2 linked regions of the Xenopus tropicalis genome follow. The protein of the gene in region 2 purifies or fractionates together with the protein of the main gene of each other region. This does not show direct contact. Links are inferred from orthologs where the notes say so. Each region holds a gene or a part of one and is shown on either strand. Other genes may lie near its edges.

Region 1 (6,437 bases), on a different chromosome or scaffold from region 2:
TCTAGTGAACTTTAGAAATGTACAGTAACATGTGAATCAGTGTATGAACAGAAGGAGGGAAATGTGTGGATCATGATACTTTTGTTTTTAGGGCTTACCAACTCATGGCTTTGAGGCTTCCCCTGCAACTTCTGGTGATAATCAAATGTTAGTCGGTCCAAAACAGCATGTTCCTCATCATCCACAGTAGCCATGCTGCGTTCTTTGTTGATCTTGTCTATGTCAATCTTTTCTTCATCTTCCAATACGGCATTCCACCAAACCTCGCCACACTTACTCAAGCTGATCTGTGGAGAGTTCCCACTACACTTTAAATACAATGTACTAACAAAGTTTCATCACGTTCTGAATGATACATGGAGGGGTTGCAGCACTTTTGTTAATTGGCAGCCTAGAGAATTAAGGTTCATGAGCAACATCACCTATGTGTTTGTATATTTTCCCGTGTATGTATGGGTTTCCCCTGGGTAGTTTTCTCCACACTCCAAACAGGCAGGTTAATGGCTCCTGGTAAAACTGCCCATAGTGTGTGAATATGATAGGGATCTAATACTGTAAGTTCCACTGGGGCAGGGACTCATGTGAAGGATGTAACAGCCCTGCTCAATTTGTTGGCGCTTTATTAAGAATAATGATAATAGGTTTGTTGCAAACTTGCATATGGATTATTAATGAACAAAAAGGGGAAGAATGCAGGACTGATGAGACAATTTTGGACCCTGAAGCAGAACTGTTAGCTGCATACCAACATCCTGCGTTTTATAGTCCCATTTAGGAAAGCAATGGGTGAAATGTGGAGGCAAGTATTACAATGCACAAAGGGAAAAAGAGAGACGTAGAGCCCCTGAAGAAGTCTTGAAGGCATAATGGAGAAAGGTTGTAAAAGAAGCAGATCATGGGATGAACATAAACTCATGAAGTGGTGATTTACTGGAATGTAAAGAATTTGGGTAGGCATTGGGTTTATTTAGATATAATTCTAGAAGGACTCTTGAGGCACTGTCAGGGGAGGAGGAACAACTAGCAAGATGAATAAGCTTTGCAGCAGGATTTATTGTAGACAGTAAAGCAGACAGCCTGCAGAGTGAAAAACCAGACAGCAGGGGACTGCAGCAAATCAAGATGTGTCATGATAAGGGAGTGAATGAAAATTTGGTGGAATCTACCATATGACTACACACAAACTACATTGGAAGGATGAAAGATGCAAGAGAAGTTTCTGAAAATGAAATATGGGGAGCACGGAAATGCTATACAATGTTTATTCAGAGAGCTTAGGAGCTCAATGGACACTCATAGAATTAAAAATATCTAATATCTTAGCCATAAAGCAAGACAGGGATAAGGCGTTTAGGGGAACTTTGAGTCAATGCAAATAAACTTGAATAAACACCCGTGAATCAGAAATAGGATACAAGTTGAATATATACAAATTGAATACTACATAAACCAGAGAAGTAGTTATTAATACAGTATGGAAGGAATACAGATGCAAACTTGTATCATTATTAATAACAAAATCCATGAGATCAAATATGTTTCCAAAAGAAAACTAGCAGGGAGAGTAAAATTTAATGGCAGAACCATAAAGCACCCAAATGCCAGATGTACCAAGAATAGGAAACTTTAAATATGCAATAAGAGAGAAAACAAACGCTTTAGTGTATTTATAATGTATAAGTTCATTTTTCTTTAAAAACTGCTATACACCCACCTATAACCACAAAGTTTAGAGGAGTGGGTAGTAACCAAGGAGCTGGCCAGCAACTTGTTCTTATTAAGTGGTGAGATGAATGGAAGGAGTATGGCCAAGCTGACTATTGATCTAAGTGTAGAAATTATTTAGGAGTTCTATTGGGAGTATGGTCCTGCTAAGTCTCAATAAGCTGATAATAACTGAAGATTAAACCACAGGTTGTGGGTCTCTCAGACATGGCCCATGTGATCTATATGCAGGGTGCATGGTGGGACCATGCTGATGGCAGTAACAGAGGGCTTATTCTGTATAACAAAATTAATTACTGTCACCTAGCAAGGCACCCACCTCTACAACTGACCTAAAAAAATGGCAAGTGAGTGGCATGGAAGAACACATGGGAACGTGAATAATTCAGCTCATGATTGACACCAGTCTCAAAGGAAATAAAAGATCCTGATTATTCATAGTGATTATATATGCCTTAACAAGCTGCACACAAGTCAGATTCAGTATCTTATTAAAGAGTCTTACCACAATACACTTTCCAGGTTCCAGACTCCAGAGAGAGGTCTCTGCATTTATTTTGTGAGTAAAGCTTCCCTCCACCAGAACACGTTCCCCTCCTCCTTCTCTCACCGCCACACGAATACAGCTACTGCGCAGGTCCACTGACACCTGAGGAAGAGGGTGCAGACAAGGGAGTCATACGCCCATTAGAATCAAAGGTGCTCTGTCCTTTACTCAATACAGCAACAGTAGCACAGGTATCACAGAAGATACCGAATGGGGGCCATTTTGGAAAAGGTAATTTTGTGCAATGCAAGTCAGCAGCTAAGCACAGTGATACTGTGCAATGAGTTAGTAAACAATAATATGCAGCTTGTTCCCAACCTGATTCCATAAGCAGAGCTCCTTCTTAATCCCCATGATATCTGTGGTTGGATAGGACATCCTATTATTATCTATGTACAGTTTATAAGCTCATTGTTGGGGGCTGTAATATGAGATAATAATGTGAACCCAGGTTTTATTTGGTCAAAGTTCCATGCTAAAGCAAATGTATTGCCCACTCACAGTCACTTGTTTTAACTCTGTTAACTGGCCATAATTAAATTGAAAATGAACACGGCTGTATATTCTCTTTTCAATATACAGCCATTAATAGTGTTCTGTGGTTTTAAAGAAACAGTAATGCAAAAAAATTAAAGTGTATCAAAGTAATTCAAATATAATGTACTGTTGCCCTGTGTTTGCCCCTACCCTACTATAGTTTATGTAAATATAGCTGCTGTGTAGCCACAGGAATAGCCATTCAAACTGAAATAGGGCTAAATGGCACAGGTCATTTAGCAGATAACAGATAAGCTCTGTAAAACACCATTATATTTTACAGAGCTTATCTGTTATCTGCTATGTAACCTGTGCCTTTTCTCCTTTTTCCAGCTTGGCTGGCCCTATGGCTACACATCAGCTTATTTATATATACTATAGTATTGTTTCTCAAGCCAACACACTAGGTTTACCAGTGCAGGGCAAAAGTACATTACATTTTAAACACAATTTTTGGTGTTACAATTCATTTAAATTAATATGCAAAGATAACAGAACCTCCATAGAAAGGGATAAAACCCACTGTTCTTAATATCAATTATAGTTACAAGTAACTTTAAAAATACAAATTTATGTTTGGATGTTGCTTGGCATTATAATTTTTTCATTATGCAAACACAGAAAAAAACCCCCAAAAATAATGTTTGCCTAATAATAACAATAATAACAATAATAATAATAATAATTCTAAGCAATGTTCCAATATACATTCATTACAAATTTGTAATGGGAGCATCATGGTGTAAGGATGTTTTTTAGCATATGGTACTGGCAGACTTCATATAATTCTATAATTATAGAATCTGCTGCCATCCACCAGGATGATGAAGATGAAACGAGGCTGGACATTTCAGCAAGACAATGATCCCAAACACACAGCCAAGGAAACTCTCAGTTGGTTTCAGAGAAAGAAAATAAAGCTGCTAGAATTACCCAGTCAATCAACCAACTTGAATCCAACTGAAAATCTATGGAAGGAACTGAAGATCAGAGTTCATAGAAGAGGCCCCTGGAACCTTCAAGATTTGAACACAGTTTGTGTGGCAGAATGGGCCAAAGTCCCACCTGAACAATACACGCCACTAGTTTCTCCTACAGGAGGCGCCTTAATCCGTCATTCCCAACAAAGGCTTTTCTACTAAGTATTAAATACATTTCAGTGTTCAGCGTGTTTAATACTTATTCCCTGTGTCATTTCACTTTACTACACATAATGTATGGACTTATTTGTTTTGATTTCTTTGTACATGTGGATTACTTTGGTTGTTACAGACATCTGGTGTAAATTTCATGTCAATAGCCCCATTAGAAATATATTTACTAAGAAAAACATGTTCAATACTTATTTTCCCTGCTATACAAGCAGCACTATATAAATAAATATAAATATGCATACAAACATATCTCCCCAGGGTTCTCTGTCCCTACCACAACTATTGTCATGACATTCATGACAAATTGTGAGGTTATTTATGTATGTTGGTATTTATGTTACACGTAAGTACACTGTGACGGATGTGAACACATCTACATTGCAGATAGGTGTATCTTCATACGTGAGATAGTTCCTATTTTTCTATTTACTAAAATGCCTTTCTTTTTATTAAAAGTTTTCTTAAAATATCAATATGTATTTTTAAAATAGTTTTCATGGGTATCGATATCCTTTGTAACCTCTTAAATATTCTCCCATTTAAATGGAAAGTTCATCTTAAAAATAATTTTGACTTTAATGAAGTCAGTGATATCCTAAGACAGTTTTTTTTTATTAGTTGCTGAAGTATTGCCTTTGCATTGAGCTTGCCCTGTTTTTTGCCACTAATCCATTTGATGGCAGGAGGTCGTCCCTAGCTTTAGCATCGGGAACAGGTCACATATGATCCTAAGGACAGAGGCAGGCATGAGTGGCGTGTCTGGGTTCCACCAGGGGGCCACCGCTACATTAAGAGCCCCACACCCCAGCAGCAGAGGTCTCTCGAAGGGGCCCATAAGGTTCTGTCCCAGTATCCTGCTGGCCCAATATGATCCTGCCCAGCGAAGTTCTCTATCACACCACCTGGGGCTGCCCAGAATAGTAGCATGAAATACACAAGGATAAAAACACACAGACCTACTAGTAGCAGCTACTTTTTCATGGCTACTTAACTCCAGAAAATACCATGCCATAGACAATACTGAGAAGTGCCTCTGCTAAAACACACATAGAGACAATTACCAGTAAATGATCAGCACTGTCTATTTTAGCAGCCGTGACAAGTAGCTGCTACTAGTAGCTCGGTGTGTCTTCACCCTAACGCTGTAGCAGCATCTGTATACTTTCTCTCACTTGTACTACCACCCATACTGGGAAATAAATTGGCATTACAGCTGCACAGTTTAGTCTTATTGTTTACAAATGACAGATTCCAGTCTTTCACATGGGAAAATGATATAATCATATAACACATTACTGTCTGATAAAAGACTGTACAGGTATGGAATCTATTATCCAGCAGGATGTTTGGGAAGGTTTTGGTAATCGTTTTTCAGATTTTTCTGTATAATGGATTTCATACCTGGTATATGTTTTTAATATTTACTGTGATAAACTATATGCCAGACATGCAGAATTACACAGTTACACACTGCGGCATACCACTCTATTTACTTCCCTCCCCAAAGCAGTTTCTAGATCCTTCAATGTATTGATCTCTGTCACCCTCTGCTGGGAAAATGGCTCTATAAGGCAAACACCTTGCCAGTTAGCATCATAACCATACATTGCCTTACACTGCCCCCTTTAGGACACAAGTCTTTGGGACTTGTCTCTTCTCAGTTTTCTGTAATAAAACTACATCTGCCCGCCTGTATATCACAAGTTACTCAATAAATATGGTGTTGCTTACCTGCCGACCTTTTATTACAGATTTAGGCACTGGAACTTTAATTTCCACATCTGTGTAATCCTGAGACCAAACATAATTCTTTCTTATGGCTCCATTGTAACTGTCAGGGTCAGCTTGGTAGTCTTCTTGTTCCCTGAATGGATGCAAATATACATATACTTATATATAAGAGTTGGGGTTTAATCATTTCCAAAAACCAAATGATCTAACATAGAAAAAAAATTGCAATAACTCAAAGAGGATAAGGGAGTTCTCAAGCTATAAACATTAAAGGAACAGTAACACCAAAAAATTCAAGTGTATAAAAGAAATTCCAATATAATGTACTGCTGCCCTGCGATGGTACAACTGGTGTGTTTGCCTCTGAAACACTACTATGGTTTATATAAAGAATGCAGCTGTGTAGCCATGGGGGAAGCTGTTCAAAAGAGAAAAGGCACAGGCAGATAACAGATAAAACACTATTGTATTCTACAGAGCTTATCCGTTATCTGCTATGTAACCTGTGCCCTTTCTCCTTTTTTCCAGCTTGAATGGCTGCCCCCGGGCCTACACCAGCTTATTATATATAGCCTATAGTAGAGTTACTGTAGCAAACACACAACTTTTACCAGTGCAGGGCAACAGTACATTATATTTCATTTACTTTAAAACTCTTTAATTTTTTGCTGTTACTGTTCCTTTAATGAAGAAGAGGGCAACGATGGAGAGTAGGAACGGGCAAAATACAAGCCTACAGAAGT
Region 2 (6,437 bases):
AAATACATAATGACATCACGTGTACAGAGAATTGTGGGATTTGGAGGATGCAGGCTGAGGAGACAGTCGACTACTGTTACATTTTATATGAGTCTCAAAGCAGTCAGCCAGATCAGCAGGGGAACAGGGGGCGGGGCTTAGGTAACTGATCCAAACCATTTTATTATATTAAAAATCATGCATATTTTTGATTGATGTATATAACAAAGTTGCTTGAAATCATGTTTACTTTTGACAAAGTTTAAGTTGTGTTTGGGTGGAGTTCCCCTTTAAGCAAATGATGCTTTCAACAACAATTACATTTATTACAATTACAAAAGTTAACACATTCATATTGGAGGGTTTCTCAGAATTATGTTTTCTTTTATTCAGCTCTGCTGTGGCATGTATCTATGCTGGGGGAACTGCTCATGCACTCATTGGGCAAGGGTGCTAAACAACTGCACCCAGGTGATGAGCCAACTGGGTTTATCCGATCATTTGACCTTTGGACTGTGGTTTAGTAAACAAGTGAAACCACAATCAGTTATTTTCTTCTGCTTTTCCTGAGTACTATGTGTTAGATAACCCCTTTTACAAAGGCGGAGTAGTGTGATGCCCTTTTTTTTCAAAACCGACTTTGTTTCCTCATCAAAATAGACAGGCCCTGTTCCCACAAGATAGATAAAAGACTACATACATTGGGTAATACAGAAACTAAATGTTTTGCAATGACAGTTCATCTTTGCATGCCATTTGTAATCACTTCCATAGAATGACACAGTTCTAACTGCTCTGTGTCTGGGGCAATTGCACAAACTGCCATTTGCAGTACTATTCCAATGAGCGGGCAAACCCTCTTCCATCTTCTTTGTTCACCAGCTGCGTATCCGTAGTAGAGTGAAAAGCTGTACTTTAACAAAAAAGTTGGCTTTTTGTTTCTACTGCCAATGCATTGGCCCCAGATTGCAGTGAATGTGTGGGGGGGGTGGGGGCAACGGACGGGGGCGGCCTCGGGGCACCCGGATTACATATCCGCCACCCCCCGGGGCTGGTGTAATTTTCTGCTAATTGGTAACCAACCAGGTATCAGGTAATCAATCTGAATCACTGGGGGTGCTTACATTTAGAACCCCCCAGTAATTTAAAGTGTCTTCTTCTTTAATGGTGGATATTCATCCTATGATTAAGGGCTATTTCCAAAACCCGTCAGAATGTTTGTTTCACAGTAGCCTCACATGTTTTTACAGTTAATGGAATAAAGGACTTTTCTTTAGAAGAATGAATGTGTTTTTTTTCTCTTTTTTATAGTGATATTCAACCTATGACCCTCCAGCTGTTGATAGGCTGTAAATTTCATTAACACTGCTCAGCAACAGTGGTAAATTGGGCAGCCATTGCTCACACCAAAGGGAAATGAGTGTTACAGGGTAGTAGGAGGGATTATTACATGGCATTCCTGTATTTTCACAGCTTTCTGGATATTGGGTTTCTGGATAATGAATTCTATACCTGTACTTTGTATATTATTTTACGGTTTACTGAAAACCTTTTCTGAATGTCTAGTGATCACTTGCTGCTGAAGGTCCCTGAGGTTTGTTTCGGCCCCTACTGTAAAATCGGTGTCATCTTTATGCATGTTTTCTTCTGCCGGAACTTACATAAAATAATGGCGTAAAATCTGGCATTCAGTTGGCAAAATTCTCCATTTATTTTACATAGCTTTTTACACTGTTTTTTTTTCAGCATAATAAATAGGCCCCATAGTTGGGTTTCTACTGACTGGTCTTGGAATGACACTGACTTTCACCCAGAATGAATGCACCATGTGCAACACTCACGGAATGCCCTGAATGTTTCCCTTATGGCTCGCACGTATGTCACTTGCAGGGAAAGTATCAGTCAGAGTTATATTTAGGGGTCCAAGTAGGGGCGGTTACTGTGGCCTCCACTGATTGTGGGCTTTGCATAAATCAATAGCCTCCGAGGAAGTAGTGTATATACAATATGCAGTCTGTAAGCCCCTGTCTTACCTGCCTATAATATACACTACAGCTTCACCGTATATTTCCACCTTCCTGTCACTGCCAAGGTGGCGGACATTTCCTCATGGAAGACAAATGCATAGATGAATGTTGTTAATCAGCCAGTAAGCAATAAGTGCCCAAACAAACTGGATTATTTCACAAACCTGGAAAAGGCTGGCAGCTTCCAAGATTTTTTGCACATTGAGTTTTGTAATCACCACTTTGCTTGTGTAAGTATAATCCAAGATAATCTGCATGGTCTCTGGCTCAACTCCTTGGATTATAATTTTCTCTTCATATTTTTCTTTCAGGTCATTACAGAACATGGCCCTGGGAGACATGCAAAATAACAATGTCAAGTGAATTCATTGTACAATAACAACTTTAAAATGGCTTAGTTAAAAAGCAACTTGAAATTGTAGTTCCAGTATTTAAGGTATAGGGTATAGGGATGTTTTGCCTCCAACATGGATTCATGTAGCATAGTTAGGATCAAGTACAAGATCCAGTTTTATTATTACAGAGAAATATGGAAGAGAAATAGATTTTTATCCTATTACTCATGTAGAAGTTAATGGCAGATGTCGCTTGTACAACTGGAAGATCTTTGGTTTTAGAGGTTTTTGGTTTTTTTTGACTGAAAAAGTTTAGCATTTTTCCACGTCTTTCTTCTTTTGTGTTTTTCAATTCAGATCTTTTGATAAGTGACTGACATCTGCGGAAATGACTTTTACAGAATGCCCTTTAGCGTTTTACAGAATGGACAATTCTACGAAACGTTTTAATTGGTCTTTATTATCTATTTTTTATAGTTTTTTTTTAATTCTTTTTCTTACTCTTTTCAACCTTCAAACAGGGGTCACTGATAGTGATGAACGAAATTATTTGGCAAGTATGGATTTGCAGCAAATCTCTGCGTTTCGCCATTGGTGGATTGTTTCGCAAAACGGGTTGGAAAATTTGCTGTGCGCCAATTCTTTTGATGCATGCAACAATTTTTGTGTGAATTTTTCGCCATTTTGCAAATCTTTTGCGGGGAAACGAAACGGGACAGATTCGCTCATCACTAGTCACTGATCCCTGCAGCCAAAAACAATTGCTCTGTGATGCTATAATTTCATTGTAATTGTTACTTTTTATTATTGATTTTCTATTTGGGTCAGTTGAACCCTAGCAACCAGATAACTGCTAAAATTCCAAACTGGAGAGTTGCTTAACAAAAAGTAAAATTAATTAAAAAAAACACAAATAATAAAAAATGAAAACCAATATTCTTAGACTATTACTCTCTCAATATATATCCTTTTTTTATAAGCAGTGTATATCTTCTTTGTTCTGTGCATACAATAAGATAAGCGTCACACTATAGTGACAGAAGAGAAACCCTACAGAAATACTGCAATTGTCACCATTAGTTTGTGTAGTTAATAAATCTTTGTGAACCACGCTTAATACATAAACAAGGAGCAATATATCTACTTGTACAGATTTCATTTAACATATTGTATTTATAAATAAAAAGAGTTATAAAAAGAAGGTATATAAATGGCTTCTGTTGGCCGGCAGTTCTCCAGCTCAGTAGTGCTAGCAGTCACTGACCCTCCTGGGGCTTATCTAAGCAAAACAAGGCAGGGGAAGCAGGGCAGTTGAATCTCCTATCACTCATATAGTGGCTATCAGTCCTCTGGTATTGTTTGGTTCCGCCCCAGTTCCGCCCCGCTTCACCTGCCTATCTCCACAGGTCACAAAGCAGCTGCATTAGAAAGGATGTGTGCCTATGGTTTGCATACATGAACTAGAAGATAAATCCTTATAAGCTTTACAGAGTTCTTTAGGGCAAAAGGCATACACATCACAATGTATCCTTTGCGTGCAAAGGTTTATACGTGTTTACAAAGTAAATGAGTTAAAAGAGAACTAAAGCCTAACTAAAGAAGTAGGCTAGAAATGTTGTACATTATGTTTTGGTTTCTGTACCAGCCTGAGGCAACCACAGCCCTTTAGCAGGGAAGATCTGTGCCCCCAAAGATGCCCCAGTAGCCCCCCATCTTCTTTTCTGCTGATTCCCTGCACATGCTCTGTGCTGCTGTCACTTACCTGAGCTTAGGGACCCACTCTCAATATACTGCATATATAGAATAGAAATGTCCCAATAAAAGGCTGATTACTAATTAATTTAAATTCACATTACATGGCAGCTTTGAAACCAGTTAGAATCAGCTGTTAGAATCAGAATTTAATAATCAGCCCTATACCATCAGTTTATATGACAGGCCAACCTAATTGTTTATGACGACCCCTAAGCTCAGCTTCTCAGCAGCTGCCCAGAGCCCACTGAGCATGTGCAGTGTCCCAGAGAGTTCTAACAGAATCCAAAATGGGAAGCTGATGTGACAACTGTAAAGACCTATATCATTACTACTATGGAGATGCTGAAACTTTTGACTAGTGCATTCAGTTTAAAATATAAAATATGGCATTTTTAGCCATATTCATTTTTAGGGTTTAGTTCTCCTTTGAGACACAGACAGTAAAGCACAGGGAAAAACATAAAGCTTATTTATCAATTTTCAACTATCCATTTTCATTTAAACCATGAAAAAAAACCTCAAATGTATCATATTTATATTCTACCTATCATTTTCAATGGGTCTACAAACTCTCAAAAAAAAAAAACCCATGAATTGAAAGACCACATAATGTTTGCCTAAAATAACCCCAATTGACTTCTACAGGAACTTGCAAGTGTTAGATGCCAAGGTTTTACATTCAAGTGTTTCTAATTTTTTGCGCATAATAACTATTACCTTTGTTAGACTTTGGGAGCTTTTGCGCAAAAAGATTCTAATTTGAATTTGAACATTGATAAATCACCCCCTTACTGTATGCTCAGAAAAGGTTGCATATTTATATTATTACATTTTATTACAAGGAACTACCATATTTCTTGTTCAGGTATCGGACCCCTTATCCGGAAACCCATTATCCAAAAAAGTTCACAATTACAGAAAGGCCATGTCCCATAGACTCAATTTTAATGAAATAATTCACATTTTTTAAAAATGATTATCTTTTTCTCTGTAATAATAGAACAGAACAGTGTACTTGATCCCAACTAAGATATAATTAATCCTTATTGGAACCAAAACACTCCTATTGGATTTTTAACTGCTGTTTAAATAATTTTTTTAGTAGACTTAAGGCAGGAGATCCGAATTACAGAAAGATAACGGGTCCCATACCTGTACTAGCAATGAAAAGTCCATATAGACACTGTAATAAATATATATATATTGGCATAAATATGGTAAATATTTACAAACAATTTTTGTATTCTTTTATTTATAAAAGTTATATTTTGACAATAGAAAAGTTTCTGCGTTGTGATTTTATATTGATATGTAGCCATACTCAATGACGAAGGGCCCATTTGCCTTAGCATAAAAGTGCAGAATTTATTTTAGGACACAAAAAGCCAAGAAATGATGCCAACCTAGGCTAGGCAAAATCCATTATCTTCAGTGGGAGATGAAAATGCTCCAGTGACTCCCCCCCCCCAAACTCTGAACTCTGTTGTACTGTCCACAACCTATTTCTGTCATACTATGGGTCATGGGATTTGTCTTTTTTTTCCTGTCTATTAGACATTCCCAGGGAAAAGTCAGTAGGACAAAATGCTTGATGGTTATGGCACACAGGAGATAATTGTCCAAGCATGGAGGTCTGCTTTAAGGCATATATTCTCTGCATGTGCTACAACAAATTTTTTATGCCAAGATAGTTTTTACCTATGCTCTGAATCCTCAGAGTGCTTTAGTAATAAATAATAAACTGCAGCATGTTTTTGCAGCCTTATGGTGTGTTTAAACAAGGCCTTAGCTGAGACAAAATACATATGTAGATGCTGAACTGTGCTTTGCTCATGGGACAAGGGGTCAGCTAACCAGAACTTCAGCTAAATAATTGTAGACTTGTTCAAAAAACAGACTCAGAATACACAGAAAGTGGCCATATACTGTTTTCTTCCTTCAAAATTTAAAAAACAATAGGAGAAAAATGACAGCTGAAGATGAAGATGTTTTTCAGGTTCAAATAATTGCCTCTGTCTGGGCTTCATCTTACCTGCAACTCCACAGTCGCCGGTATAATCCAGGCTCAGTTTTATGTATGTAGCATGGTCTATACTACAGGCTTTGTCACTACAGTTTAATTGGCAAAAAGCAGTTGGAAATTTTCATCAAGAACGAGCAGTGGCCTTAAGCTAATGCCATACAGGGATGACTCTTGGCCTGCATATAAAGGCAGGCAGAGAAGCAGCCAATCTGATCTCTACTGTGTCTTGGGTGCAAAACTAAGTAGCGAATTTCAGCACCAAAACGCTTGAGTATGCATTTTTGGCACTGAAATCTGCTCCGTGTGTCTGCACTCAGG

What was found. Proteins that work in one complex are often made in the same cells at the same time.
Region 1: the proteins of klhl6 (region 2) and nudcd3 purify together in Homo sapiens (affinity purification with mass spectrometry; 3 studies listed by BioGRID and IntAct, counting the BioPlex papers as one, with this or other methods). This does not show direct contact. The link is inferred for Xenopus tropicalis from reciprocal best matches to the Homo sapiens genes KLHL6 and NUDCD3.

Annotation. Positions count from the first base shown.
Region 1 is NC_030679.2:126,201,034-126,207,470, forward strand, and holds part of nudcd3 (nudC domain-containing protein 3), read right to left. Parts: intron 5,828-6,437; coding exon 5,695-5,827; intron 2,375-5,694; coding exon 2,231-2,374; intron 288-2,230; coding exon 99-287; intron 1-98.
Region 2 is NC_030681.2:127,024,680-127,031,116, forward strand, and holds part of klhl6 (kelch-like protein 6), read right to left. Parts: intron 2,337-6,437; coding exon 2,171-2,336; intron 1-2,170. UniProt on the Homo sapiens protein: Involved in B-lymphocyte antigen receptor signaling and germinal center formation.